4 linked regions of the Elephas maximus indicus genome follow. The protein of the gene in region 2 binds, or shares a complex with, the protein of the main gene of each other region. Links are inferred from orthologs where the notes say so. Each region holds a gene or a part of one and is shown on either strand. Other genes may lie near its edges.

Evidence for each region.
Region 1: CACNB3 (region 2) and CACNA1C share a complex: the UniProt entries of both Homo sapiens proteins name them as parts of the calcium channel complex. The link is inferred for Elephas maximus indicus from reciprocal best matches to the Homo sapiens genes CACNB3 and CACNA1C.
Region 3: CACNB3 (region 2) and CACNG1 share a complex: the UniProt entries of both Homo sapiens proteins name them as parts of the calcium channel complex. The link is inferred for Elephas maximus indicus from reciprocal best matches to the Homo sapiens genes CACNB3 and CACNG1.
Region 4: CACNB3 (region 2) and STAC3 share a complex: the UniProt entries of both Homo sapiens proteins name them as parts of the calcium channel complex. The link is inferred for Elephas maximus indicus from reciprocal best matches to the Homo sapiens genes CACNB3 and STAC3.

What each region holds. Positions count from the first base shown.
Region 1 is NC_064822.1:56,718,673-56,726,386, reverse strand, and holds the start of CACNA1C (voltage-dependent L-type calcium channel subunit alpha-1C), read left to right. Parts: upstream 1-4,704; 5' UTR 4,705-5,114; coding exon 5,115-5,253; intron 5,254-7,714. Other genes in the region: DCP1B (mRNA-decapping enzyme 1B), read right to left, coding at 1,699-1,765. UniProt on the Homo sapiens protein: Pore-forming, alpha-1C subunit of the voltage-gated calcium channel that gives rise to L-type calcium currents. Mediates influx of calcium ions into the cytoplasm, and thereby triggers calcium release from the sarcoplasm.
Region 2 is NC_064822.1:104,257,318-104,264,294, reverse strand, and holds the start of CACNB3 (voltage-dependent L-type calcium channel subunit beta-3), read right to left. Parts: upstream 3,005-6,977; 5' UTR 1-3,004. UniProt on the Homo sapiens protein: Regulatory subunit of the voltage-gated calcium channel that gives rise to L-type calcium currents. Increases CACNA1B peak calcium current and shifts the voltage dependencies of channel activation and inactivation.
Region 3 is NC_064837.1:56,870,739-56,878,128, forward strand, and holds the start of CACNG1 (voltage-dependent calcium channel gamma-1 subunit), read right to left. Parts: upstream 3,015-7,390; coding exon 2,780-3,014; intron 1-2,779. UniProt on the Homo sapiens protein: Regulatory subunit of the voltage-gated calcium channel that gives rise to L-type calcium currents in skeletal muscle. Regulates channel inactivation kinetics.
Region 4 is NC_064822.1:117,174,004-117,181,469, forward strand, and holds the start of STAC3 (SH3 and cysteine-rich domain-containing protein 3), read right to left. Parts: upstream 3,004-7,466; 5' UTR 238-3,003; coding exon of another isoform or gene 172-237; 5' UTR 1-171. Other genes in the region: R3HDM2 (R3H domain-containing protein 2), read right to left, coding at 3,883-4,223, 5,103-5,187, 5,560-5,657, 6,856-7,003, 7,396-7,466. UniProt on the Homo sapiens protein: Required for normal excitation-contraction coupling in skeletal muscle and for normal muscle contraction in response to membrane depolarization. Required for normal Ca(2+) release from the sarcplasmic reticulum, which ultimately leads to muscle contraction.

The sequences.
Region 1 (7,714 bases), about 48 Mb from region 2:
TGCATACCAAAACAAGATTTTTTTTTTCCCCTCATTCCAGAGTGCTTTGAAGTCAAAGCAAGGGTGAGCTCAGCAACTCAAATCCTGTTGGTCTCTGGCAGTTTAAAAACACAGTGAAGATTCCATACTAATTCTGAGAGGAGGAAGCATTAAAGCACTTAGAGCAATGAGTGTCCTGTATTGTCCTGAAAACCATGCAGAAGGGAGCTCAGACTGTGCCTATCTGCTGCTGGGTGATGCTGAGAAAAATACTTTTTGCCTTTGTGTGCTTTGACTTTCCATTCAAATTCATTTATTATTGCCATTACATTTATGGTAAAAAAAAAAAAAAAAAAGCTCTGAGAAGTTAACTGAGATTTTATTCTAACCGGCGAAGGGGTCTGATCCACGCAAATCAGCTTATTGCTGGTGAACAGTGTCCTGCCCCAGCTGTTAAGTAATTACTGCAGAATGGTGATAATTTTAACATGGCCTCTTGGCTGAGCTACAAGGTACTTTTTAATCTATATGAAATCCTGCTGTTATAATCCATCGCACAGTTTACGATAACATGAATGTTCAAGAAACTAGTTGTTATGGTGGTAAATATCAGTTTGAACGCACTTAATCACCAGCTGCAACTTGAGCTAGTTACTTACAATTAGCTGACACAAGCTAGATTTTCAGGAATCTATGCCCATTTATTAAAAAAAAAGTGCCCCCCATTTTTCATTGCCTTGGGGTCACTATTTAGTCATTTCATTGCCCTGGGACTTAAGACTGGAAGCTGGTTCTTTTGTAGCTGGAGGTGCTTTGTCACATCAGTGTGGGCAGCAGCTCTGTGCTCAGCTGAGTCCAGTCACAGGCTGAGAAAAAACACATGTAGGAAAATCACTTAATTCTCAGGCTCTTTCTTACCCATCCCCATAAATAGCAGAGCAATGGCTGCTTCCAGTGAGCAGCCCTGGGGGCTCAAGGACTGATCAAATAGCTGACCAGTCACAGAGGAAACACCAGGCTGGGTCCTCCTTTCAAAGCCATCAGGGAAGCAAAGAGAGTAGGAAAGTCAGAACAGGGATTCAAGTTTCCCAAAATGCAGAAGGGGACAAATCATAAGGTCTCATGAGATTAAGACAAAAAGAGGATAGTAATAAGAAAGACTGTATTAACTCAGAAATTTCCAAAGAAATTGAAAATAAAGACTATCCTATGTAACCACAGTGTTTGAGGCAAATGAGAAAATTGTGAGCTTCTAAAACACGGATATGCAGCTAAATGGCATGGATAAGCATTTAGAGCAGGAAGGAAATAAAAGATTTGAGACAATCCGAACCAGCCTTTTAGATATGGCTCTGAATGCTCTCTTTACTGATAAACGTATTGAAAACTTATTTTTAAAAACAAAAAATTGCTAATTTACAAATGTGGAAAATGTTAAGGAAAACTGCCATTTGGAAGAACACACATTACATATATTTCACACTGGCAGAAAAAGTGAATTGAGTCATTCTAGATGATAAATCTTCACTAAGGAAAGTGAAGCAAGTCCCTTATGTCTGTTTTTAACTTATTAAGTAATATTAAGTGTTTCCTGGACCACTGTGAAAAAGAATTTCAGTAAGAGATGTATTCTATTTAAATTATGGTATAGTTGCATACATTTAGAAATACAAACAAAAGCACCAGGTCCTGAAAAATACTTAACCTTTCAGCTCTTACTTTTTCATAAGCTCTGCAATTCTTTGGCATTCTTCCTTATCATAAAACCAAATTCCATAAATGGACACTGCAAAAGAACACATCAAGCAACTCATGAGCATCTTCAAAACTAAAAAGTAGAAACAAATTACCTTTTCCATTCTGAAGAGAAATGAAGGCTGTTGTTGTTAGATGCCGTCAAGCCAGTTCTGACTCATAGGGACCCTATGTACAAGAGAACCAAACACTGCCAGGTCCTGCCCCACCCTCATGATCACTGTTATGCTTGAGCCCATTGTTGCAGCCACTATGTCAATCCATCTTGTTGAGGGTCTTCCTCTTTTTCGCTGACCCTCTACTTTACCAACCATGCTGCCATTCTCCAGGGATTGATCCCTGATAACATGTCCAAAGTAAATGAGATGAAGTCTTGCCATCCTCGCTTCCAAAGAGCATTTTGGCTGTACTTCTTCCAAGACAGATTTGTTCGTTCTTCTGACAGTCCATGGTATATTCAGTATTCTTTGTCAATACACAATTTAAAGGTGTCAATTCTTCTTCGGTCTTCCTTATTCATTGCTCAGCTTTTGCATACATATGAGGCGACTGTAAACACCATCGTTTGGGTCAGGCGCACCTTACTCCTTAAAGTGACATCTTTGCTTCTTAATACTTTAAATGTATACTTATTGTATAAATGAAAACAATCACTGGAGTTAAAGCTTGGTAATCTAGCACTGAAATTTTTAAACCCACAAAGAAATCTGTAGCGGTCTTAACACATAGATACACACACACACACACACACACGGATACGTGCATCCAATAAAGTGTGTTTTCCTTAAAAATTTAGCACTTGAACACAACAGGCATTTGGCAAATGCTTCTTAAATGAATGAATACAGACTGAAAATGAAATCAGAATTTCTGAACTTCCTGGCTTTGGAATATCATTTCTATACTCCATGTACACATTTAAGAAATGTTTTATCTTTATTCATAAGGATTCAGGAATCTGATGCACAAATTATGCCTAGAAACCGCTCCTTCGCCCCAGGAATATGTTAACTGGAAATTGGCTTTGTAAGCTGTGAGTTAGAATAGAGTTCTGGCAAAAATAAAATTTAATAATAAGTTCTGACTTCAACATGTCAGAAAATTTACAACTGTTGAAGGATTAGATACGACTATGATTTAACCATTTAGTAATGAAAGAAAAACATGGTCTAATATAGCTGCTATTGATTCATTTCACAATTTTCAGTTAAGTTATATACTTTATTATGTGCCCATCTACATCAGTTTTATACCAAAGGCTGAAACAATTCCAAAATACATCGATATGTATCTAGTTGAGGATCTGGTGGTATTAATCACGTTAATAATGAATTAGCTATGTATACATTTTCAAACTGTCATTGAAAATAGTTGCAATATTATGATGATCCAATAAAAACTGGCCAAAAAAAAAACTTTTAAAGGGAAAAAAACATTAAACTTTCAAAGCATTTAATTATAGGAATATTATTTGGCCATTTAAAGAACTGTGATATTTTAACCACAGCTTTTTCCCCACTTACCTGATCAATGCCTAGGTATGGAATTTCTGCTTCTTGTCAGTAATGATTCAGATATCAAAAGATAGAGGAAATGTTTTTATCTAGTGCTATTTTAAGCAGACATCTTAAAAAAAGGAATTCCATGAATCTAAACTTATTAGTAAACGTGCCAAAAGGCGGAAATGGGTTTTTTACTTTGTTTTTGTATTATCAGTGTACCTGGAATCTTTATCTTACCTACCCACGTGAGAAGAGGGGAAAAAAGTGACCCCCCCCTCCAGCTCTTTCTTGAACAGGATCATTTTATCCTCTTAGACAGAAATACAGACACATATTTCTCCTTAGTACATTAACAATCTTTTGAAAAAAAGAACATCTGAGTTCTGAAGCTTAATGCTATGAGCCTTGATATCAAAAAGGAATTCTTTCATCTCAAGATCATTCAATGTGTCTCTCAAAACTTTACTTCAAGGTTGTCCCCAGTCCATCAACACTAATTCCCTACTCTGATTCCCACACAGTGTTCCTGCACCCTAACTTACCCAGCCTCGAGGTCTTGTAAGTAAATTTGGATTGGATCATTGACATTCAATCACTTAAAAATGTGAATACGTTTGTATATTTTGGTGGCTTTAATCTTATCACAAAACTAGAAGCCTGGTCTATTTTTTGGCTACCATGAACATCTTCTTTCACTGGAGTCTGAATTTTCCGAAACTGTCAAAGGAGAAGGGTGGTAGCACGGAAGAAAAACCTGGCATAACTTAGGAACCCGAGGCCCAGGAACACAAAGGCAGAGGAAAAGCCAGCCATTGGTGTCTCATCAGTAGAATATATTAATAGAAATATTTTGGGTGTAATTTTTATGGTATTACACATTTGTGGCATCTGACATAAGGAACTAAGTTTTCATAAGGGGAGGATGCCAAGGAAAGTGTTGATACAAATAGCAAAGCAGTCTGACATTGTCATAACCATGAGGAACTGAAATGCAGATTCAGGAAGGGAAATGCTATGGAAACATCTTTCAAATGTCAAAGCAGAATGAAGGAAGGACTGGGTTTCTAGAAACACATTGAGGAGACTTCTTTAGGACAGGACGATTTATCTCTAAAGCATCATGGCTTTAAGATTAAAAGGAGATCCTTTTGAAATAGCTCTTTTCGTCCCAGATAATATTTAGTTTGAACCTAAAATTTAAATACCCAAGGGGCGGGGGGAATAAAAAAAGAGCAAACGAACAGATTTACCAAGACTCCTGGATCTTGAAAGGTGGCACCGAGATAAAATGTAGGACTGGGCCTAATTTTTCTCTCCCTGAAATAGTTTGGCCACTTAAGCTGCATTCCACTGAAAAAGAGGCAGTGAATTACATTGAAGTGCACATTCCAACTGAAGTTTTCTGCCTCTTAGGCCCAAGGTCTCCCAACCCCTGGCCAAACCTATCACTCTTCCACACAAGAGGGCATATCAGAGCACCTCGTGGTGATATATAAAAACCAGAGATCACCATGCCTCAGCGAGGTGATGAGCTGACAGGCTGACAGAAACCATTAACTTCACATTTCAATCCATGTTTTCCCGTAAAGCCAGTGGGGGAGAGGCCTGCGCCTACGTAGGCAGTAAGCACAGCACGGGAAAAAGACAAGGTTGAAAGAACCAAGAAAGAAGGTGTAGTTTTTAGAAAGCTAAAACTGACAAAAATTGCTGTAACCTAAGTTTGCAGCTATGTAACATAGCTGTGTAAACCCCTGTAGCACTGAGATGTTACCTACAGGAATGATTTCTGGGTTTTAAAAAATTACGAGATAAGTGCACGAGCAGGATACTTATTTTAAAAACTCAACGTAGTTATTAGTACACAACTGGAAATTTACAATGTTTCGAGCCTTTATCCAGTCTGCTAAGCCTGCGTACCAGCCGCTTGCCAGTCACCTGTCGGCCGAGACAGAGATGAAGTTTAAGGGCACCTTGGTCCATGAAGCTCAACTCAACTGTTTCTACATCCCTCCTGGAGGTAAGAAATCTCAGAGAATAGGAAGAACATGTTGAAATTTACTACGAAATATTCTAATGACATGTAAAATGTAGGACTCCACCACTCTAAGGACTCATCTCTTTGGCACACCTCTTTTTGCATTTAATACCGGACTTTCAATAGCACAGTTGTGCAGTTTTGCCTAAAATGGCACTGTTGTGGTTTATGTCACGCTTTGGAAATTCTCAACTGAAACAAGCTGTGTTTGAGGGAATAGGCAATGCAATATTGCCTTTGCATATCAATTAAAACATCAATCTTCTTCCTTCCTTTTAATTATGAGAGAAAGATTGAGGACATCAAAACTTATACATTAGATTTCATGTCCGAGTTTTGTAGGTACAAACAGACAAGATAGGGAGCAAGGTGATCATATTCTATAATGGTATTTTCTTCTTTGTATATTTCTTTAGTGGCAAAATCCAAAGCTAATCAAATTTTAAGAGTTAAGAGACCATTACAGGTAAGATCAAATGTCACTTAAATGTACATTTTCATTCGGAATCTTTTAATTTTTATTAGCAGGGTGCACGAATTCATTTTAGAGGTTCTCTGAGAATATACTCCACCTAGTTTATGTTCGGAAACCCTGGTGGTGTAGTGGTTAAGAGTTCGGCTGCCCTATGGGGCAGTTCTACTCTGTCCTATAGTGTCGATATGAGTTGGAATCCACTCGACGGTTATGGGTTTGGTTTTGCTTAGTTTATGTTCATAGTAAATATTTCTATTCAATGTTTTTTTTTTTAAACAGTTCTTTTAGGACATTTATCATTTGTTCTATATTTTACCCAAAATACCTTTCAACTCCAAGTTCCTGAATGGCAAGTTGCAATCATTTAGCCAGGAATTTTTGTTGATATTTGTCTGACTTTAAAGAATAAGGCACATTTCCACACAGTTAGTAAATTGATGATACATAATTACATGAGTAAAGTTTAAATAGCCAGGATATCTGATTTGGTAATGCTCTCCTGCTTTCTTTTTTTAAAAAAAAAATAATTTCACTGTTCTCAAAAGGACAGGGAAATATGGTTTTCATAATCAGTATGTAGCAAGGAAGGCATGTAAGTTCTCTTTTTTCACTAGGAAAACCATGGAAACATGGCAGTGTAAATTATACAAATCTCTTCCGGGCATTTAAGGATAGACTAAAAATCTTAAAATGCCTTCAAATCCCATTCTTTTCATGAGGTTTTTCTTAAATGAGTGGAATAGTCATTTGAATTTAAGGACCAAGAACATTTAATCACAGACTTTGTGTAAACACTTGTTTTTGAGGCTGTTCAAATATAGTATTTCTTAATTTATTGTACCATGTATCTAGTTCAAGTTTACATAAGTTCAGCCATATTGATGATGACTTGTTACTAGCATTTGGTAGTAAGCATACACACACAGCTACTGATGTGGATATGCTACTACCAATCCGAAAGATCACAAAGTACTTAAAAAATTAGAAAGCTAGAACCATGAAGTGTTAGCGCTGGAAGCCAGCTAAAAAGTGTGCAGTTCGATAGCCCAGCTTCACTAATGAGGAATCTGTCCTCTAACAAGCATAAATGGCTTAGTCAAAGTCATTTTTCTGGGTTCAATCTATTTTCTCTAAAATATACTACTGGATCCCTGGTAGAGCAGTGGTTAAGAGATAGGGCCGCTAACCAAAAGGTCAGCAGTTCTGATCTACCAGCCACTCCTTGGAAACCTAATGGGGCAGTTCTGCTCTGTCCTATAACTTCCTATGAGTCGGAATCAACTCAACAGCAACAGCATTTTTTTTTCCCTTTCGAAGACTTTATAAATTAAACAATTAAGTATTCAAAAAAATTTTTTTAACTTGCCAGGTTTGATTATAAGAGGTTGGGAACTAGTCTTTTTTAAACTAAGGTTCATGTGGACTCTCAAAAGGAAAACGAAAGAAGGGAAGGAGAAAAAGGAGGAAAGAAAGAGGAAGGGAATAAAAAAACAAAACCCCATTGCCATCGATTCCAACTCATAGTGACAGTATAGGACAGAGTAGAAACTGCCCCATAGGGTTTCCAAGGAGCAGCTGGTGGATTTGAACTGCTGATCTTTTGGTCAGCAGCCTCAGCTCTTAACCACTATGCCACCACAGTTTGAATTCCTAGTATTGGCAGCTTTTTTACAGCAGTAATTGCCAGGGCAGCAATTAGGTTACTTATGTACTAGAATCCCTGGATGGGAAAAAAGGGCATGTTTGGCTCGTTCTATGTGGATTTTGTGCTTCTACCCCATTTAGAACGCTTTTCACAAAAAATGCTTCCTTTGGCCTTGAAAGTAATGTTCTTTCATTCACCTTCTGCCTTAGCTTTACTGACCAAACATGGACACAATCTTGTAAAACAAATCTTCACTGGCCACTGAGAGTCTACATAGCACTGTTATCTGTGGCCCCTGGATCTGGTTCTTTTCATATGACATA
Region 2 (6,977 bases):
GAGGGAAGAAGGGGGATACCACGACACGAGGGAGGCAGGAAGGCGTGGGGGAGGGGCGGCAGACGGGGCGGGGCTCCAGGTGAGAGGGCGGTGTGCCTGGGCTCGGCAAACCCGGCAACGGTGCTGGGAAGAAATGGGTTTGGCAAAACCGGCCTAATATAACTCCTGCCCCAACAGGTGTTCTGCCCTGTCAATCCTGACACGCAGCAGCAAAGGGCCCTGCTACCCAACCGGTGTGAACGGGGTTGGTTTCGAAGAGCTGGCTTAGGCCGCCCCCACGCCTATATCAGGCAGATTTCATCCTAGTCGCCGGGATGGGGGTTCCCTTTCTCACTTCCCTGCCAAGGACACATTGCCAAGGCATCTGTGGGAACTGGGGCAGGGAAGGCCGTCTTAGGCGAGCCTAAAGGGAGAAGGAAAGAAACCAGAGGGTGGAGATAGGGGGATCATTGTAGGTGGGACAGAAGTTGGCACCCTGGCCACACAGGGGTTGGGAGGGGGAAAGGAGAAGTCTCCCGAGTCACTGGTGTGAGGCCAGGTTCTCTTCTTAGCAAAAGGATGGGGATGGTGGGTATCTAGGTTTGAACCACAGGTACTGCTCTACACCGGTCTCCTTCAAAGAAGTGTGGAGATTTGAGATAAAAGGCAGAGCAGCAGCCCAATTCTTAAGGGAACTTCACCAAAGATCCCCCATTTGAGCTCCCTTTTTTCAATCTCTTGAGCAAATTAGTCTTTTGAATTCTGATTGCTTACCTGCCTCCTCCCTTTCCCCCTCCCATGGGGATGTGAGGTAGACAGGGAGTTACCCTTGGAGAGAGGCCTCCAGCCTCCTAGTGCCTGGACTCTTGTTCCTGAGCTCAGTCCTTCTCCACCCACAGTTTCTCACACCCAGGAGGGTGCACTCAGGAATCTGCTTCATGAGGCCAGTTATGAGGATGGAATAAGAAAATGGGTTGGAGAGCTTCAGTAAGCAAAAAATAATCCCTGCCCAATTGTAGGGGGTTATTGCTTCAATAACCACTGTGTGATGCTTTGTCCCGTTTATGGCGCGTTGAAGGGCAATGAAGAGTCCAGGACAGAGGAGAGATTAGCAGGAAGGGGGATGTGGTATAGTGACTAAAACATGTTTCAAAGTCAAGACACCTGAATATTAGTTTTGGCTCTGCCACTAATAAGGTGTGTGATCACAGTCAACTCATTTAACATCTCTGAGACTGTTTCCCTGTCTTTAAAAGAAGTTGGGCTAGACTTCCTAGGGGCCTTTTTAGCCTTGAAACTTGGAGTCTATGAGACCAGACACCAAATATTCCTGACCCATCTCTGCTCACTCATTTATTCCTTCCACAAACATTTATGGAGCACCTGCTGTTAAGTAATTCCTAGTCCCTCTTTGTCCTAGCTTGAGGGTTAAAGGGGAATCAGTTTGATGAGATCTGTGGTAGAAGGCACTGTGCATGAGAGAGACAAAGACCACTCAAACCAAACCCCTTCCCACCTGTCACTTGTTCTCGTTCCCTTGACAAGGACTGGAGAGAGGAATGGCTTTGTTTTAAGATTATCTTTAGTCTGCCCTTAGTCTGTCTACCCCTGTGAATGGTCCAGCCCAGCTGAACCCCTATGGCTGAGGGGACAAGTCACTATTGGGGGAGGCATTCTGCTTTCACAATTCCTTCTCCAAAGTCCAGCACCATTTGGGGGTTGGTTATACTGGATTCTTCTGGATTGGCATCCAGAGACACTCTGCCTTCTTTCTTTTGTGCCTTTCCCAGTTGCTCATCATTCCTTGTACACTCCTCTTTCATTCTGCCTCTTTAATTCCTTCTGTCCTTCCAGAAGGGCAGAGAGAAGGCATGAGATGTGAAAAAAATAAGACCCTCAAGGTGGAAGTTGATTCTGCTGAGACAGTTGCTTTTCTTCCCATCCCTGAATCTACTCCCCTGGCCTCTTCTTTTGGGGACCTCCCAACCCCTAGGTGGTCCTGGGGACTATTAGGTAACAGTGGCTCTGCCATCAGCAGCACTTCTTCCTCACCTACCTTGTCTTCATCCCTGTCTGGGACTATGGTGCCTAAGTCTGCTCATGAGGCATGAGTTGCCATGCCAGCTACCCCCAGGAGATGGATTCAAGCTCCTCATACCTGGGCCTATCCCCTGGGTCCTTCAGGAGCTGCAGAGCCTTCCTCCCTCCTTCCCATATTTCTGAGTTGCTATCCAATGCTCCCGTCCATTTTTCACCTCACCCACATCTGCCTGCTCCAGTTTTCATGCCAACCTAGTGACTTCTTGTCCTGTAGCAGGACATGTGCCTTCAGTATCCATGTGGTTCCAAATCCCTTTTCTTTCCCATGGTTGGGCATAAGGAAAGAGAGCTGAGGGCAAGAAAGATCAAGGTCCAGAGCTACCTTGGGGAGAAGATGCCTCCTGCCTGACTCTGCCTAGAAGAGAGCTGTTGGCTTGGTAGCAGGTGGGTACCCAGGCATTGGAGGACAGCAGGGACAAAGTCCAAATAATCAGTTTTGGGAGTTGGAGTTCTTAGAGCCTCCAAAATACATTCTACCTTTTTCTCTGCATGCATCAGGAAGCTGGGCAGATCCCAGTCCCAGAGCATTGAATGGGGAAACTGAGGCAGGAGCTAGAACCTCTGGGAAGAACTGCTTCCCAGAAGTCTCCAAGGTCTGGGTGGAGGCCCCTAGCATTCCGGCTGCTAGGCTGTCCCTAGGGAACTCAGGGAGGCATCAGGAGAGCTTGGCACTGTCCTGCCCTCTCCATCCTCTAATCTAGCCCCTTCTGCAGCTCCCCAGTAAGTCCTCCCCACCTATCCCAGTTCCAGGGTTTAGGAGCTGGCAGATTCTGTTGCTCCCTCTTCACTTACAAGGTGCTTCCTCCACCCTGGCCTCCTCCCTACTTCCCTATAGCTGCAATCTCCCTGAAATGCCAGCTCTCTTCCTAGCTTGGAGTGGGTTTTCTCTCCCACCAGCTGGGGAGGGACCGCCCCCCTCCACCCGTTACCCCGTTACCTCGTTCAGCAGGAAGGTTGCACTGGAGTCAGAAAAAGACATAGACCAGGCTATCGGCCCTTGCCCCTCCCCCGGGCCCGGGGCTCCGAGGCGGGAGCAGGACCCGGCCGCTGCTCCGCACAATCGCTCCCGCCTGCACGCCTGGCCTCGCCCAGCGCCCGCCGAGCTCCACCGCCGCTCCCCTCCCTCTCTTTGCGTTCCCTCCCCTTCCCTCCTCCCTCCCTTGCTTTCTCTCCTCCTTTCAGTTTCTCTCGCTCTCTCTTCGGATCAGTCAGTCCAGCCTCTCTCCACCTCCGCCTCTTCTTCCTCCCGTCTCCGATCCCTGAGCTGTTTATCTCGGCACCTCCCACTGTCCTTCCAGCCCCTCTCTCGGCCTCCCTCCCCGTTTTCCCTTCCCCCTCCACTTCTTCAACTCCCTTCCTAGAAAGGGTACGAACTCCGGAGCGCCCACCGCAGCAGGCAGAGGGGCTCAAAGGCTGCCCCAACTCCTGAGCTTAAGGCGGAAGGTTCTGTTCCCTCTGCCCCCGCTCCAGACGCCGGGCGCCCATCCTCTGTCCCCCGAAGAAACGCACCGAGGCTTGGACTGCGACCTCAGTGGAGGAAGGGACCGAAAGGAAGAATGCTCAAGTGCCAAGGTGCCCCCTCCGGGTACCGGGGAAGCCACGTCCATCCACCCCTGCCAGGCCCGGACCTGTGGCTCTGCGGTGTCCATCTGGAGACAGCCCAGACGGGATGTGCCCTGCCTGCTCCGGGGAGTCTCTTCTGTCCCCCCTTCTCTCTCGGTGAAGGGGAAGGGCGAAACGAGGCAGCTCCTCTCCGACCGATTGTAGCGCCCCCTGGGTTCGCTCGCCCGGTGGCAGCACACGCCCTCCAGGTGGCGGCAGCCGCCCAGGGTCCCATCTCTTGCCCGGCAGGGGCTCGGCCCTGCCAGCAGGAGGCGTTTTTCTGGCCGGAACAGAGAAGGTGCTGACCGGAGTCAGACCCCGCCGTAGCCTAGGACGAACTCTTCATTCTCTTCTTTTTCGAAAAACTGAGGTCCCACCTCTAAATTCCCGGTAGGGACCCCAGGCGGCACTCTTTTTATCCCCACCCCCGTGCAGGCTCGTTTGAGACACACTCCCCACAGGCCCCCAGACCGCTCCTACCTCCATGCTCGTCTCACGGGCCTCCCCAGCTGAGCTGAGCAGTGTTCCAGCCAGGACTGGGCAGCGGGGCGTGCAGAGCCTCGGGACTGCTTCTCGGGTCAGTACCCCCCTCCCGCCCCTTAGGCGGGCACGTCAAACAGGACAAGCCCAAGTTCTGGCGGGGGAAGGGGGGGAGGAAGGGTGTAGCACCAGCTGGCTATTTCCCTGCACCCTTCAGAGCGAACCTGGCTCTCATTGGTCCCTCCACACACCCCCAGCGCCCCCAGGCTGACCCCCTCTTCTTCATACCAAAGACCGCTTTCAGAGACAGATGGATGCACCCTGGGACTGAATGACCGGGGCCTCAACTTCCACCAACTAGAACTCTTCCCTTTCAGATCGAGGAAGCCCTCACTGTCGTTGCCTACTCCTCCTTTAACCCACTTCCTCTGGGGGTTCTGGAACCCTTTCCCTCAATACCACCATCCCCTGGGGATCTCAGCACACTGACCCTTTCTTTCTACTAGGCTGATCCTCCACCCGCCACCACTCCAGAGGGAGGTAAGTTGGGGGAGAATCAATTCTTTTCTCTCCACCTCCAGCTCCTCTTCAGGCTGAATCTAACCTGGAAGGTGTTTTGGGAGGCCACCTGCTCCCCTCCCTCTGTGGTCCAGTCCAATTGTTCCATGGATCCCCCACCACCGCCCTACCCCCCCCCCAAGTTACTCACCTTCAGCTATTCAAAGGAGATAAGGAGGTTGTGTGTGTGCCTTAAAAGTGTGTGGAGGTTTTTACGGTTTGTTTTTGTTTTTTGACCCTAACTGAGGGAGCAGAAGCTTTGCCTTTCATTTGGCAATAAGCTGGAGGGAGAGAGGCTGCTCCTTCCCGCACCCCTGCTGACCACAGCTAATGGACTATCTCCTCTGGGCCTTAGGGCAGCTTAAGTTTCCATAGGAGAAGGGGGTTGCTGGCCAAGGCAAGTAATTGTCCCTGGGTGCCCCCTTTCTCACCCCTTCTCTTCTTCTACTCTCTCTCCCTGAACTTGCAGCCTACAACATCATCTCGACACCCCTTACTTTAAAATAGAAATATCAATTACTTCTCCCTGAGCCTATCAGAGCGAATCTGAAGTGCATGGGGCGGTTCTGCACCCTTCGCTTTTTCTCATTTCCACCCCAGCTGCTGGACTACATGCTGCTCCTTTCTGCAATGGAGAGAAGGTAGGAACCTCAGAGCTAGAGCCGGGAATCCAGCCCCAAAGGCCCCAGAACTGCTTTCTCCCGGGCCCTCTGTATGAGGTGACAGGGCAGGATTCTCTCCCTTTGGGCCTTGTCCAGGACCCACAGCCTCTTTCTTCCCACTCAAGTGCCTTCAGGCCCCCCATTTCTGGTCTGATCTCACAGTATCTGGGCAGGCACCCTGCTAAGAGGAGCCTGTGGCATGGATACACTCCACGCAGCCATGCCCTGGCTTGGGCCATTCAGGTTCTTGGCTCCAGCATACAGGTCCCCAGGGCTTTGTAGGCCCCCTTCATTCCTTCTCCCGGGGCTCAGCTCACTCTCTCCTCTGACCTACCATACTCCCAGGTTATCAAGACCTCAGAATATAGCCCTTTTGCACATTTTAAAAAGAGGCCCTCTCCCGGCAAATGCAGATCTGCACCAGGGATTTGGCTGACCCGTCTAGGGTTGGATTTCAGCCTGTACAATTGTACTTGGTGGCCCTGACATTGGAAAATCTGTGCACCATGAGCACAGAGAGCAAAGTTCATGATGCTCATCCCTTTATATTCTACTCAGACCAAAGGAGGTGCCTACCCCTTCTCTTCTGAGAAGGCTCTGCTGAAGTAGCTTCCACAGGGAATCCCATTGCCAACTCCAGATATTACTCTGAGGAAGTTCCTCTGACATGAAACCTCAATCTCTCCTGCTGCAACCTCTGCCTTCTTTTTCTGGGCTCCACCTCTGAGCTCATGGTGTTATTCGATGCTTCTAGGCACTTTCAGGCTCCATCCCCTGACACAGCATTTGCTATAAGTATATCTGAAGAGTTTCTTGCTGATCTGCCCAGCAAGATTGCACCCTCCTTCTCACATCAGGCCTCTTTGGAGGGACTGGGGAGTCAGCTATGGCTTCAAGACTCAACTCTTGTCTACTCTGGGCCAGGTAGTGTGATCGCTGTGTGGATTTTGAGGTTCTTCCTGGTATCTGGGAAGGTGAGAGGATCAAGATGCTTGGCTCTCACTCTCTTGCTGCCCATAGTCTGGCTTGGCGTGGCGCACAGTAGGTGTTTGATATATGCTCATTCTTAGTCTTAGAGCTGAGCTTCCCCTCTGGGTCTAGTGCATGTGATGAGTGATTCCAGTTCCATAAAATGGGTTGGAGTGAGGAATGAGGCTGGAACATGAGGGGAACTCTAGGGTTAGAGGAAGGTGTGTTAGAGGCAGGATCTGCAGGATAGCTGGGGGAAGGGGGCTGGCCTTACTTCGCAGCTTTCTCTCACAATAGAGGTAAAGAACCTGTTTTGCCAAACTCCTAACACTTTAGGACTCTGAATCACAACACTGTTCAAGGGGTCCATTAAAGTGGGTCCTCCATTCCCGCATACTTGCAAGCTTTGTAAACATCAGAGGTTACCCTGGGAAGATAGGCCTGAAAAGGGATGGGGTGGTGTGGGGGAGTCCCTGGAAGGAGTCCTGAGATGTTTGACTCAGATTACAGCCCTGGAGGGGTGGGAGCCCTTTGGAGAAAGAGTTCCCCAGTGTGGGGGCAGCTGAAACCTCCCAGGGCTTCCGCAAACCTGGGACAGAGGGCAGGTGGGCATCCTTTAGGAGGGTG
Region 3 (7,390 bases), on a different chromosome or scaffold from region 2:
GACAGATGAGTGGTGGTAAACAGGAATAGGACAAGTTAAAACACCACAAAGCATGCTGTTCTTATTGAGATTCAGCCATTTTTCTTGAATTAAATAATCCCTAGATTGCTGCTGCAGGAAACCCTGGTGGCATAGTGGTTAAGAGCTATGGCTGCTAACCAAAAGGTCAGCAGTTCGAATCCACTAGGCACTCCATGGAAACTCTATAGGGCAGTTCTACTCCATCCTATAGAGTTGCTATGAGTCGGAATTGACTTGAAGGCAACAGGTTTTAGATTGCTGCAAGACTTTGATCCCTTTCCAGAGTTCTGAAAATGTTGATCCTGACCATTTGTGCCAGTGTTCTCATTGCTTCTACGGCAGTAAGGATTCGGGGAGGTCCTTCCACTGCCATTTTTCCTGCTATCACCCCCAAGTTACCATACATAAAGCATGTACTAACAGCCTACATTTGCATTCGTTATTATTGACGCTGCTGCTGTTGTTAATAATACATGAGAGAACATGTATGAATCCTCTTCCTCCCTCCAGAAAAGAGTTGTCCCAGGGAGTGTGGGAAGGGCAGGTGGGGAAGGAAAAAGACATGGGCTTGCAGAGAAAGGAGAGAGAAGCAGCAGAAACATGCTTTGGAAGCTTGTTGGGGGGAAGGTGGCACTCAGCAGCACAGTGTGGGTGTCTGGCTCCCAGCTGCACTGGGGCAAGAAGGCGAAGAGGTGGACTCTGCTCAGACTCAAGGCCCAGCTGAGCCTGCCAGTCCCGCAAGGCTGGTCTTGTTGCCTCTTCCTAGGTCTCTCCCTTGTGTGAACCATGCTCACCTCCTGTTCATCTGCTTTGTGAACTCACCAGGCTTTAAAAGGCAGGCGCCTCTCAGGTCAGGGAGCAGAACTGGGGATGGGATGTCCCCACATGTGGTTGCTGGATAGGCTGACCCACCATGCCCTGCCTGGCCTGTCCCAGGGGAGCCAGCTGGATGACGCATCTGTCTGGCGTGCTTGGCAGTGGCCAAGGGGCGTGGGCTTCTGGCTATGTGATATCCTTCTAACACATGCCCACGCCTGTCAAGGCCCTCAGCCCTGGGACTCTGTTTTTCCAAGACAGCTGGGTATTTGAGTCTTCCAGGCATCCTGGGAGAGGGTGGGTGAGCACAGGGATTCCTGGAGGAAGCAGGAGGGGAAGAGAGGCCGGAGCAGAGAGGGAAGCATGAGGCTGGGGCGAGGCTGCAGGATTTCAGGGCATGCAGCATGGATGCTCCTGAAGGGCAGGTCTCAAGGGACAGCTGTCTGACAACAGAGGAAATAATTCTGCAACCAGGGGTGGGTGCCACACATACGACGGACCGCTGCCATCTTGGAGGGACATTTGTGGGGACTGGACAGGACCTTTGGGAGCTGAACCCAAGTCTGTACCTTGCAGAGGATGAATCAGAGGCTGAGAGGGGCTTTGTCCTCCCCTGTGGTCATCTAGGGGGCTCGTGGGCAGCGTGTGACCCGAGCCCAGGCCTCCCACGCTCCACACAGTGCTCCTTAGGTGTGTGGTCTACTGGCTGTGAATATAGTTGGTTCCACATGTGCAGAATCGAGACTGGTCCACCCAAGGCCAGGTGTTCTGGACAAGGAACTCACCTTCAGTGCTTGGTTCAGCCTGGTGTTGGGAAATCGAGGCATATGTGTAAAGGACAGTGGAAGCCAATGCATTCTATCCGGGAAGAGGTTTGAGCTGGCGGAGCTGTGCAGCAGGGCCGTGGTCTGAGGGGAAGGCAGACACTTAGCGACAGGCATGACTGGCTTCACAGGCCAGCCGCCCTAGACCCCACGCTTGGAAGGCCTCTACACTTGGTTTAATGCACTGCTGTTACTGTCTTGAAATTTAAAAAAAATTTAACAAAGAGCCCTGGTGTTTTCATTTTGCACTGTGCCTGGAAATTTTTGTATTGCCATCAGTTGATTCCCACCCATGGCTCCTCCATTTGTGTCAGAGTATAACTGTGCTCCATAGGGTTTTCAATGGCCAAGTTTTTGGAAGTAGATTGGCATCTCTGGGTGGGCTGAAACCTCCAACCTTCCAATTAGCAGCTGAGCGTGTTAGCCATTTGAACCACCCAAAGACTTCAAGACCAGTTGCTGTGGAATTGATTCCGACTCATGGTGGCCCCATGGGTGGAGTAGAACTGTGCTCCATAGGATTTTCTTGTGTGTGTGTGTGTGTGTGTGTGTGTGCTCCATAGAGTTTTCAATGGCTGATTTTTCAGAAGAAGATCGAGGTGTCTCTGGGTGGATTTGAACCTCCAACCTTTCAGTTAGCAGCCAGTGCATAACCCTTTGCACCACCCAAGGACTCCAGAACTTCTGTAGCTGGTCCTATGTATGCTCCTGCCAGGAGGCCTATGAATGAAGCTGCTGGCCCTTCAGCCTGGGAACGCAGAGCCACTGGCCTGCCCGTCATCACAGGAGAACTGCGGGCCGGGCAAGCCCAGAGGCTCGACCACTGCTAGGAGCAGAAGCCCCTAGACTGTTAGATCTGCAGTTTCTTTCTGGAGCCTCTTGTCCTACCTGTCCAGCCCTTGTCTCTGGGTGAAAAGCCCCAAGCCTCAGCAAGACAGAAATAGCTGGAGACAAGTGCCCTCATTTCACAACCGGCTCTGGCTGTCAGCACAACCACATGCAATTCAGAGTCTTGTCCCTGCGCTGTTCTGAGCCAGAGAAACCTGCCCTCATTTCCAGAGATGGGGGGACAGGGAAGGGTAGGAAGTGGGTGCAGGGACAGGGAATGGGTACGTTACCCCCGGACAGGGTGATGGTTCTGCAGCTCTTGTCCTTGCTGTCACCCAGGACGATGCGTTTGGTACAAATCCGCCAGAGGCCGAAGTGGGCCATCTCACAGGTACTGTTCTGGTGAGCCAAATGGGGGCTGAGCACGGCCCAGTGGTCGGTCACCACAGCCACCATGGCCAGCACAACACCTACCAGGATGAAGAAGAGGGTCACACGGACCTTCAGGGTTTTGGTCTGGGACATGGTGGGGTCCTTGGGCAGGACGCAGCAGCCACAGCTCTCAGGGCAGGTGGCAGCTGGGCAGGGGTGGCAGCGGGTATCGAGTTGGGGGTCGGAGCTAAGTTTAGTGTGCCCAGTCGAGCCAGAATGGGCCGGCCTTGGGACTGAGGGATGGGGTTGAGCAGCTGCCCAGACGTGTCAGGGGCCTGAGGGAGGCTGCTATTAATGCCCATCTCCCAGTGTGTCACCACGATGGTGTCTGCTCAGATTTCAGGGCGTTCTTCCCCTCGGGGAGCCAGAAATACCTGAGGGCGGGGCAGGGAGAGGAGGCTCTGGATGCTGACTTGAGACCTCTATGGGACGGCGCTCAGGGTGCCAGGGTCCGGCAGGGGTGTGGCAGGGCATGGGTATCTGCCTGCTCTGGATGAGGGCAGAGGACTCTGGGGGGCCTTCCTGAGTCTCTCATTGCAAGGGGTGGTGACCAAGGTATGGTGAGTAGGTCCTCATCCTGTGAGTCTGGGGGACTTAGGACCCTGTCTAGGGGACCCCCGGAATCCCCCACCCAGGGCCCAGGCAAGGGCCATACTCCTGAGACCACCACATTTCCCAGATCTCGGGATGATTTATGTGGTTCCCGGGCCTGGCATCACCAGCTCCTGAGTGAGGTTATTTCCTTCTCAGTTCTCTTTCCAAAGCTCATGTTAGGGTCAGGAAGTGCTTAATTCCTCCTTGACGCTTGCAAACCACCCTTCTAGGCAAAGGGCACATGGCCTGGGAGGCCTCAGACTGCAGAGCTGGCTGTGACTCAGGCCTGTTCTCACTGTTTTTAGTTTTATCTTCTATTAATGCCAGGTAAGAATGACTTTCCAGCTATGTTCCCTTTTACAAAATAATTGTATTTAAGAAAAAAGAACAGAAGTAGGTTGATTCACAGGTGACCAATAGGAGGCTGGAGTCTTTGGATGATGCAAATTGTTGATGCGCTGGGCTGCTAACTGAAAGCTTGGCAGTTTGTGTCCACCCAGAGGCACTTTGGAAGAAAGGCCTGGCAATCAGAAGAAAGGCCTGGGAATATCACCAGGCCTTTCTTCTGAGGTGCCTCTGGGTGGAGTGAATCTCCAGTCTTTCAGGTAGCAGCCGAGCACATTACCTGTTTACACCACCCAGGGACTTCAATGTTCCCAGCGGGAGCTAATTCGTCACAATTGGCTGACTCAGTGATTGACTTGTGGGTCGATGTCTCTGCTTTACCTCAGGGGTGACTGTCTCCAGCAGGTGGGCCCTCTCCTTGGGGAACACTAGGAAGCGTGGACATGGCACACAGCCTCTGAGCCCATTCACACCACTTGTGTGGTCCTAGCCTCAGGAAACCCCAGGCAGAGTCAGCCAGGCCAGGTGGTTCTTGGGCAGGGGTGCTGGGTGGCCTGAGGCAGACGAACTGGGCAGCAGACCCACAGCAAGCAGCAGCCAAGGATCAAGAAGAAAGTTCTGGAGTTTTAAGGCAGAATACCTAGAAAGAAACTATCGTAGTTTTACATACAAGTAATTGTGGTGTCATTTGAGGAAATGAAAATATAGTCTGACCTCCCTGGCGTGGTGGGTGGGCGCCTGAAGCTCTCAGCTGCTGGGAGTGCTGAAGGTCTTGGAACCGGCCTAGAACAGCGCCCTCTCCGTGGAGCCACAGCATTGCAGCTGTCACAGAGGCCAGGACTCCGCAAGGTCAGCACAGGGAGCAGCAAGTCTGTGCTGCCTGCAGAAGCCCTCAGTCCTCCACCCAGGCACGAAAGCATTCAAGATTGGTGACCTTTCTTTTTGAAGTCGTCTTTGTGTGAATCTCACCAAAGGGCTGGCAGCCCCAGGGATGTCAGGCAAGTCTTCCTTCTCTTCCCCGTTAACTAAAACTCCTCATACTGTGTGGCTCTCGGCACAGCTGTCTATGCTGCCCACAGAGGCCGCTGTGGGCTGCCTGCTTGGCTTCCCCAGCAGGGCCAGCAAAGGGGCCCACTGGCCACTGGCATTGGTGGAATGGGGTAGGGGGGCTGGGAGACTCAATATTCTCCCCCGGGACCTGAGGCCTGGGGCCGGTATAAGGCTTAGTGATAAGGCACATTACCAGTTTAGTCTGTGGTAGATCATCTATCCAGAATGGCTTTTATCATTAGTATTATTACTGATAGACTACAGATGGATCAGTTTTCTCTAATGAGCTATGAGCTTCTGGAGAGTAGGGATGGTGAGACTGTTATGAACTCATTCTGGGTCCCTTCTAGAGCCCAGCCTGGATCTGAGCACAGAGTGAGACTTTCAAAAATGCTTGTTGAGCAATTGTTAGATGGATGGACGGATGGACGGATAGATGGATGGACAGACTGAAAGGGAAGGACAGAAGCACAAATAATTTTCTCCAGCAAGTGATCCAAAGGACATTTCTATGTGGCTTTCAGACAACAGGGACATAAGAAATGCCAACTGGGGCAGACCTGGGACCACTTGGGCCAATAAGCTAATTTGTTTCGAGGTTCTGAGAGGTATCTTAGGAGCACACAATTGTCCTCTGTGATGCCAAGTTTAAAAGGAAGCATCCAAAAATATTGTGTGATCCCACTTGTACGAAATAGCTAGGATAGGCAAATGCAGAGACAGAAAGCAGATTAATGAGGAGTATTGCTAATAGGAGTCCCTGGGCAGTGCAAATGGTTAACATGCTCAGCTGCTAACTGAAAGGTGGGAGGTTGGAGTCCACCCAGAGTCACCTTGGAAGAAAGGCGTGGCAATCTACTTCCCAGAAAATCAACTATTGAAAACCAGATGGAGCACCATTCTGCTGTGACACACATGGGGTCGCCATGAGTCAGAGCTGACTCAAGGACAACTGATTTCATTGCTTAACAGGCACGGAGTTTCTGCTTGGGTAATGAAAAAGCTTTGGATATAAATAGTGATGGTTGAAAAAGAAAAAAAGGGACCAAAATCCTAAAAAAGGAAAGAAAAAGGGAATATCCTCCTGACATCTAACATCGTCTATAGATAATCTTCAAAGAGGATATGCCATGGTCAGCTAATTGGGAGTCATCTGTATTTTGCTCATTTGTCCTAAATGACGGCTGTTCTCCCAAGAAGCATCAGACCTTAACTAACAAACAAAAAAAACGCGTTGCCCTCAAGTTGATTCCGACTTATAGTGACCCTATAGGACAGAGTAGAACTGCCCCAGAGAGTTCCAAGGAGCTCCTGGAGGATTTGAACTGCTGACCTTTTGCTTAGCAGCCATAGCACTTAACCACTACACCACCAGGGTTTCCAGACCTTAACTAGGGGAAGGGAAACATCTCCTGGAGGAGGATTTGGTCTAAACCAGGGCCAGGGCATGCCTGGGTGAGAGCCAGAGAAACACTGTTTGGTAATGTGATGATCTAATTTTGAGCTCAGGCTTAATTAGACTGAGGAACAGCCTTGATGTTTAATCTTAAAATGCTATAAAAAAGCAAGGCACTACTCCACTCGTCCAAACCTCCCTATGCCGCCACTTCATCTCCTGCCTCCACCGCTCAACTTGGACCCTCCTCTGCCAACAGGCTCCCTGCCTCATTTTCATCTCGAGAGCCAACAGTAGCCCTCTGCCAAGGGGGTCCCAGAGCTGCATGTCACCTATCCCCCACCCCAGCTTTCCAGAGCTTCTTAAGGAGGCGGGCAGGTGTCTGTGGGGAAGCTCAAGAGTCAAAGAGTATTTAATAAAGTGCAGAGTATGATACTCGGCAAAGTAAGACATGGGCTGACCTCAAACGGCTGTGGCACATGGCGTTGTGGGAACTTGGGGGGCTCTTTCCAGCTCTGCTCCCCAAATGTTGATGCTCACTAGTACCCTGGTCCTGCTTTATCCTGTTTTCTCTGGTTCAGCTCCTCTCCTCTTCCTGGTCCAGGATCCAATCCAATATCATGCATTGCCTTTACCTGTTATGTCTCATTGTTGTTATTGCTGTTAGTTGACATCGAGTCGATTCTGACTCATGGTGACCGAAGTGTGCAGAGTACAGCTGCTCCATACAGTTTTCAAGGTTGTGAACTTTTGGAATCAGATCTCCAGGCCTCTTTTCCAAGGCACCTCTGGGTGGGTTTGAACTGCCAACCTTTCGGCTGGTAGTCAAGTGTTTTACCATTTGCACCACCTAGGGACTCCTTCCTTTCCTCTTTCAGGTTCCACATCTCCCCGCAACCCAAGTGTTTTCTGACCACTTGAGCGCTGTTTATCCAGGACTCCCCAGATGCCTTCGGTGCACAGAAGGCTCTGGACACCTGAGTCGGGGGTGTGGCTTAGGCCCACATGCAGCAAGGGAGACACACCCCCTGCCCTTGAGAAGCTCATGACTGTTTGGGAAACCAAGACCTTCCTGGGAGGGGCT
Region 4 (7,466 bases), about 13 Mb from region 2:
GGCTATTTTCTAGTCCCCATGCCCCAGGATTAGGGGGTATGAGGGTTGCAGGTACTGGCTGGCATTCTAACAATAAGTCACATACAAGTGACATCAATTTAGACACTTTTCTTCAAGGGCTGTCATGGCTTCCCAGTTTCCCACACCCAATAGTCAGAGGCCCAGACTCACCCCTCTTTGCCGAGTCTCTGCTGGGAAGGAGGGCTTAGGGGACTCCAGCACCTCCTTTTCTGTCATCCTGCAAGAGGTTGGACCCCACTATGAAATCTAATCCCTAACTGCCATTCTTCTCTCCCTTATTCCTGTCCCTTGCAGTAGGATGGTCCTTGAAGGCGAGGCCTTGGGAGAAATTTGGTTAAATTCACAGGGTTTATGAACAAAAACTGCCACGGAGGTCCAGAGAAAAGCCAGGGAAACCAAAGAGCTTCTCAACTGAAACCAATACCCATCCTTCTACCTTGAGAGGCAACCCAAGTTTACAGCCCTAACAGTGTTCAAGGCTGCGTGGTTTGGGGATTTTTCTACGGGCACTTTGTTTCTTCTGTGAGGCTGTGGGCAAGAGAGATGTGACTTGATTTCCCAGATTCTCTCTCTTCAAGAGGTTTAAGGTGTGTGTCCAAGTGCATGCATAGAGTAATGGGCTGGGGACACTATCCCTATCTCCTTTTTGAGCCCTGGGGGCCTCTTGCCTAGTTCTATCCCAGCCTGCCTCAGGCCTCAGCTATTTTAAGTTTTCAGAGTAATATGAGCCTTTCCTTCCCTTACTACTCCATTCCGTTGACCTCACCCCACCCGCCCTCCAATCCTAGCTCTAGTTCTGGAGTGTAATAATAATAATTCCTCATAAACTACTCATAGACAAGGGGAGAAATGAAGCTGAACAGACTAAGGATTGGTGAAGCTGGGGTGAGTAGTCCTCGAAATGGAAAGAAGATGAAGAGGTAACTTACATTTGGGGATTCCCTAAGCCAGTCCACAGTTTGGGGATGGAAGAAGGATCCCCTGGGGCCTTGGTAGTAGTGCTGGGGGAGGATCGGTCTTCTTCCCTGGGGGCTGAGCCCCCCCAGTACCCTCCCCGTACTCACACCGGCTACCCAGACGGTATTTGTAGACCTCCTAGCCTCTCTCCTTGGTGTCAGAGCTGAAATGACAAGGCTGGAGGAAAGTGGACAGCTGAATAACACAGCTGACACAGAGAAATTAGACACGAGGAGGTCTGGGGCAGGGCTGGACCCTAACCCCTCCCATCCCCCAGAGCTACTGTTCCCTGACTGTCTATGGTGAGCAGGCCAGTACTGGCTAAATTCAGGGATTGAGGGGCTGTTTCTGTTCATGCTACACACCCACTTGAGGGGATTTTAGGTGACTGAAGGTGAAGTCGAGATGAATTACTGACAGGATTCTCCAATCCATTTCCCAAGGTCCAAACACCTCCCCAATTCTATTCTTCTCAAGGGCCTACTTTAGGAAATACAGACTTCAATTTCTCAGCCTAACTCTAAACCTTTAGGAAGGAAAGGGCTGAGAACTGGGAAAGAGAAGATCATTTGACTCCTCAGAGCTCTCCTATCAGCTAGACTAGACTGCTTTCTTATTCATAGGTAGTTGGTGGGTACCCTGCTCTATCCTGTAAGGGAGTGAAGAATCTGTAGTACTGCTTTGTTCCCTCCAGCTGCACCCAGAGACTTTTTTTTTTTTTGTAATTAAAACTGTGTCCTCAGGATACAGGGAACCTTACCAAAATACCCAAACCAAACCCATCATCATCGAGTTAATTCTGACTCACAGCGACCCTATAAGACAGAGCAGAACTGCCTCACGGGGTTTCCAAGGAGCAGCTGGTGAATTCGAACTCTTGGCCTTTTGGTTAGCAGCTGAGCTCTTAACCACTGTGCCACCAGGGTTCCAAAGGGAACCTTAAGGGCTCTAAAAAAGACAGGCTAAGACTTCCATCTGAGGGGCACCAAGGGAGTGCAGGACTGACAACCAGGTAGGGATGGTCTAGTTAACAGTGGACAGAAGGCTCTAGCTGCACACAGGAAGTTTTGATCATCTGTAAATAACACCCCCTTTCCCCTGAGAAACTCCTGGGGGTAGAATGGGCATGTCTCACACTTCCTACTAAATCAATTTGACTCCTTGGTTCCATTTGCCTCCTCTGATACCCCAGTATCTGAACTGATGGGCCAATGAGTTAGCTAGCATTTGTATCTCACAAGGATGTGGCCTTCTCCTATTCTTTGGGCTGTGACATGGCTGGAAGAAGAGACACTCCCACCTCAGAGGAGAAAAATTTACAGGTGGCAATGTAGTGCTGCATTATCCCTTGTATCTGTAAGAAATAGAGGATTAGGTTGGAGGTAGGGTCAGACAAGCTTCAGAGGAGCCTGCCTAGAGATACTGCTACCCAAGAGATTTCCAGGGCAATGTACTCTGCCATTTCCACCCACTGCTCTTTTTTCTCTCTCTCAGGGGTGGGTGGCTGCTACTGGTTCTGCGGCTACAAGCTCTGTAATCGCCCTGGCCTGACTGGCCGTGGAACAACAGCGCCAACTCTGAGAAGCCCCAGATACAGGAAAGGCTCCATCTTGCAGAAGGAATTACATCTGCTCTTCTTCTTTCTTCAGATGCATAGAGATGGCTGAGCACAACTGGATAACAGAGCATCCTGGCACTGCAAGTTCAGCTGATACAGCTTTTATTACAAGAAGCATCCATTTCTGTAGGACCCAATCCTCTAGACGTAGGATTAAAGAAAAACTCAAGTACTCCATCCCTAAAGGGGTTTTCAGAAGATTAGATAGGACAGGATATGAGGCCAACATCTGAAGCCAGTACTGGGCCGAACACCCTGCTGCCCTGCCCCAGCTCAGCCATGAGGGCCTTAAATGATATTACAGAATTAACAGGCCGGAAGGAAACTCAGAGGTCACCTTGTCAGTCCAAGTCTCTTATTTTACTAATAAGGACACACAGTGGTCTGGAGTTGAGTTGGGAGAGCCCAGAATCAAGGCTCCATTAGAAACCCAGCCATGGGCAGGGAGAAGGGCGGGGGTGGGAGGGGGAGGAACAGTCTTAGGAAGACATATGTGCATATGTTTAGGGACAGCCACCCGAACCCACATCAAACAGCTGTGGGGCTCTACTTACCCAGGACCTCCAACCCCTACCCACACCAGGACGGCAAGAGAAAAACGGGGACTGACGTCCAGTAACAGAAGATTTTTTTTATATTTAAAAACCAAACCAACCTCCCCTCAAGTAACCCCCAAACAAAAAAACCAGATTAAATAAAATTTACAGTGAATATACCCAGCAAACATCTGTATGTGCAATTAAATACTGTGTCTGTTACTGCGGCACGAACCTCAAACAAACAATATACAAGTGTTCCGGGAGTGGGAGGAGGTCCAAGTTTTAACTCTGTGGGGTTTGTGGAGACAAGATAGGGGGAATGAAAGGAAGGGGAAATCAATTTCGTTTTTCTTAATTCTGTCCATATAAATATACTCATAAAGACCAAAAAAGAAAATGGAGCTTGGGATGTTAAGGAAATAGGAGAACAGGGGAGTGTGGGATCCTCCTAATTCTACCTGGCCAAAAAACATGAAAGAAATTAATTTCATGGTGGGAGAAGAGATAAAAAAAATGATAGAAGAGGATGGGAAGGAGAGGGAAGCAGAGAGGAGCCAACCAAGGAAAAAGGACCATGGCAGGGGAGTCCAGTGCCAGTGTATCTTTTTCCATCTTTGTCCCTATAGTCTTAGGCTCCAGTTTAGCATGTTTCCCTACTTTGTGCCTCTGTCCATGGTCTGTCAGAATCCCTCGACCCCCTCCACCCTGACCCCACCCCTACTGTGCTGGTCCCTTCCCCTTCTCCGCTCATTGGGAGCTGGCTCGCTCCAGGATCCTCAGGTCATAGTTCTTTTTGGCCACTCGAAGTTTGAAGCGACTCACGGAGTTGTTGAGACGAAGGGAGGCATTTTGGGCAGCCAGCGGGCTCGGGAACACAGCCACGATGGTGTACAAGGCAGCGAGGTCCGCGTGGCGGCCATTCTCAGCAGTCCCACCGTTATCCCCCCCGCCCCCGCTGGGCAGCCCCTGAGCATCCTTGAGCCACTGGATCTTGGCGCCAGACATGGCCAGCTGAGTGAAGAGTTTGTCCGCCTCAGTACGGGTGATGCCCTCAGGGAGATCTGTCACCTCCAGCACCCGCCCTAGGACTGGAAGGGGAGGAGAGAGGACATAGCTGTGAGACACAAGTTAGTCACCTGGCAGAGAGTATTCAGCTAACCGAATCCGAATACCATGTCCTCAAAAGTCCAGCCTTTCCCACTTAGTTCTTTCCTCCCCTTTCCCCAAATCGACACAATTCCCCACCATTTAGACTCTGATCAGTGCCACCAGGAGAAAACGATGAACTTTTTCTCCTAGCCCAGAGATGTAGGCTGGGAATCAGAATTCCAGACTTATGATCTGGGGTCTTCTTCAGCTCTCTCACAGGGTACTGATACTGTGAAAGTTAAATGTGGTTTTTACTTGTGTTCTTTAACAAAGTCAATGAGGCAATCTGATACATGTTCCATAGTTCCCTTTCTACTCTGGCTGGCCCAAATAGATTCTTCCTTCTTATCATTTACGAAAGTCAGTTTCCCTTCCTTCTCTTGTTTAGCAAACTGCTTCCAAAAGAGAGATCTTATATGCCTAGTATGGAAGACCTGTAGGAGGAGAATTACTCTCCCATACCCTCTATCAATCTTCTCCTTAATTGGGTATAGGGCTACCAAAAGTAGAGGTCCTAGATTAGGATCAGGACTGCTCTCAGAAGACTCCTGGCTAGTTACAGTCTCAGTGGCCCCATCGGTGTGTTCTTCTCAATTTTTACCACTATGTTCCCCAGGACCTGGGATTACTTGGTAAGGGGAACTGAGACACCTTACTTCTCCTTGTTCTTGAACACAAAAGGTTCCCATTTCCACTCCCCATCCTAAGCTGGGTTTCCTACCCGCCCAGGGCTGCTGATGCAGGGTTGAGGGTGGGGTGGGGTGGGGTGGGGATGGGCATGGGCATCTTCTCAGGGGATTCAGCATCCTATCACTCACCAACATCTGCTGTCCCCAGGTCAGTAGAGGCAGATTTGAGTGCTTGTCTCTTGCCCCGGTTTCCATGCTTCAATCCACTCTGTCCCTTCAACATTCAAAAGATAATTTTCACTTCAGGTAAACAACATCGACTGCCTTCTATCCCCATGTCTGCCTGAGAGATTGAGCAGTCATCAGCACCCAGCCCTGATGGCCCCACCCCACCAGGCAGTCAGACTGGCCAGGTTAGGCCCACTGGGAAGCAAAGAGCCCTTCCCTCTTGGCACTGGAATGAGTGACAAGAATGAGTACGGGAGTAGGGTAAGGCCCTTTAGCCCCTCCCATTTTGTCCATTCTCTCTGTTGGGTCACTTGTCTACCAAGCTGGTTGAGGCAGGTGGCTCAGACATAGTGTCCAAATGAGAAGGTGGGTCTGACGGCCCTAAGGCTGAGTGGGAGGGGATGGTGGACACTCTTACCTGGTGCACTGTGTAAGTCGACTGGCCATGGAGCAAGGGAGGGCAGATGGACAGATTGTACTGTAATGGCTGGCCCAGGAGGGAGTAGCGCCCATCACCTGGGGAGTAAGAGCAAGTGATTTTCTAGGAGTTTGAGCTTCACGGTATAAATTTTATGAGACTTCAGGGGGTTTGGGAGATGGACAGCAACAATGCATACTATTCCTACCTCTTCTATGATGGTAGTGTATATGTGACTAATTTAAGAGTTGTTTCTCTTCCTAAACCCCTTGGATCTCACAGACAAATGGGACTATTGGGTTCCCTTACCCTTGAAGAAAGCCTCTGCCTATGGTAGACAAAAGGCCCTGTTGAAATGATCAGGCAGGAAACCTACAGACCCTTACACATACGTTTTATCTCTTAACTAGATTCTCCCCACCTCTAAACCCAGGGCTCAAATTTCTGACTCACATGAGGGGTAATAAAATATAGTGAAAAACAGCAGAGACTTGGAGCCAGGCTGCTTAGGTTCATATCCTGGCTCTGTTACTGGTAATGTGATGTTGGACAGTTTTCCCTCATTAGTGTTGTTGGGAAGGTCAAACAAATACATATAAGCACTTACAGCAATGTCTGGCACATATTAAGCACCATAAGCATTAGCTATTATTATTGATAAAATTACATTTCAAAGCACTTTTAAGTTTTCAAGCCATATTCTCATCTTGTTTTTAGATTGCTTGTGATAGCCAAGACAGAAGGCAGGTAAGATTATTCCCAAAAATTACATGTAAGATTTATATGTAATTAACCCCATGTTATGGATTAGGAAACTGAGATTTGGTTCCAAGTACTTTGCTCAATATTGCAAAATTAGTGAATGGCAGAACTAGAACCTGAACTCAATCTCTTTTAACCCAAATCTAGTGTTCCCTCTTCTAAAACCATACTGGTTCCACTTTCCCAGCCCTCAGACTCAGCACTGATGGGTTAAACTCTTTTCATTCATAAGAAGGTTCCGTGAACTTCTTTTCCCTGGCTCATAGTCACCAACTCTACTTGACGGTGAATACCCTGGAGTAAGTTAACTAGGAGCAGCACTAGAGAACGGTGGGTGTCCTTACGGTGGGTGTCCTTAGTCTGAATAGGAATGTTAATTTCCTGAAGTTTCCTGAATGGAAAGGAAAAGTTAGCTCCCAGAATTGGACCAGCCACACTGATTCCCTGCCTCTTACTACCCTCCAGTTCTCCCCACTTAGGAGTGGGATGTGAAGGGTGAATTCTACAGCAGTTAGCCCTAATCTAACCCCTTACCCTGTGCTGCACCCCCGGGCCGGGGGAACTGTGTAAGGACAGGCAGGGGACTGAGTCCTGTGCAGACGCTGCTGAGGCTGGTGACAGGAGAGGGTGCTGGGGACTGGGTAGGAGATGTGACAGGGCTGCTGCTCATCTGTGTGGTGGCCTGTGGAAGAGAAGAGTGCATGTCACATAAACACCAAGTATTAGCCTCTATGGCTTAGCTTAAAACTCACATCCCTCAGGAAATAAATCTATCTGGTGAAGTGAGACTGCTCCTTCAAACTGCCCCCTTAGTTCCTTGACAAACAACTTGTATTATTTTAATGCCTAATTTTTCACACACTGTTTTAAGTATTCTCTGAGCAATTTCAGGTGTGTGTCCTATCTGGCACCTTAGGTCTTAGATTTCCTGAAAGAGGATGCATGCTTGTATTTCTTGTGTTTCTCCTGCAAAAGTGCCCAGGGAAAGACATGTAAAGTGGCTGCTCAGTCAATGGCAAAGACTGCTCCCTGGGAAGAATCCTTGCCTAGATGGGGCGGGGCTGCAGGACTCACCTGGGGACTACTTTCAGGATTGTACAGGTCTCCAGGCTTCTGCCCCCGCTGGTCTACACTGTAATATTTAC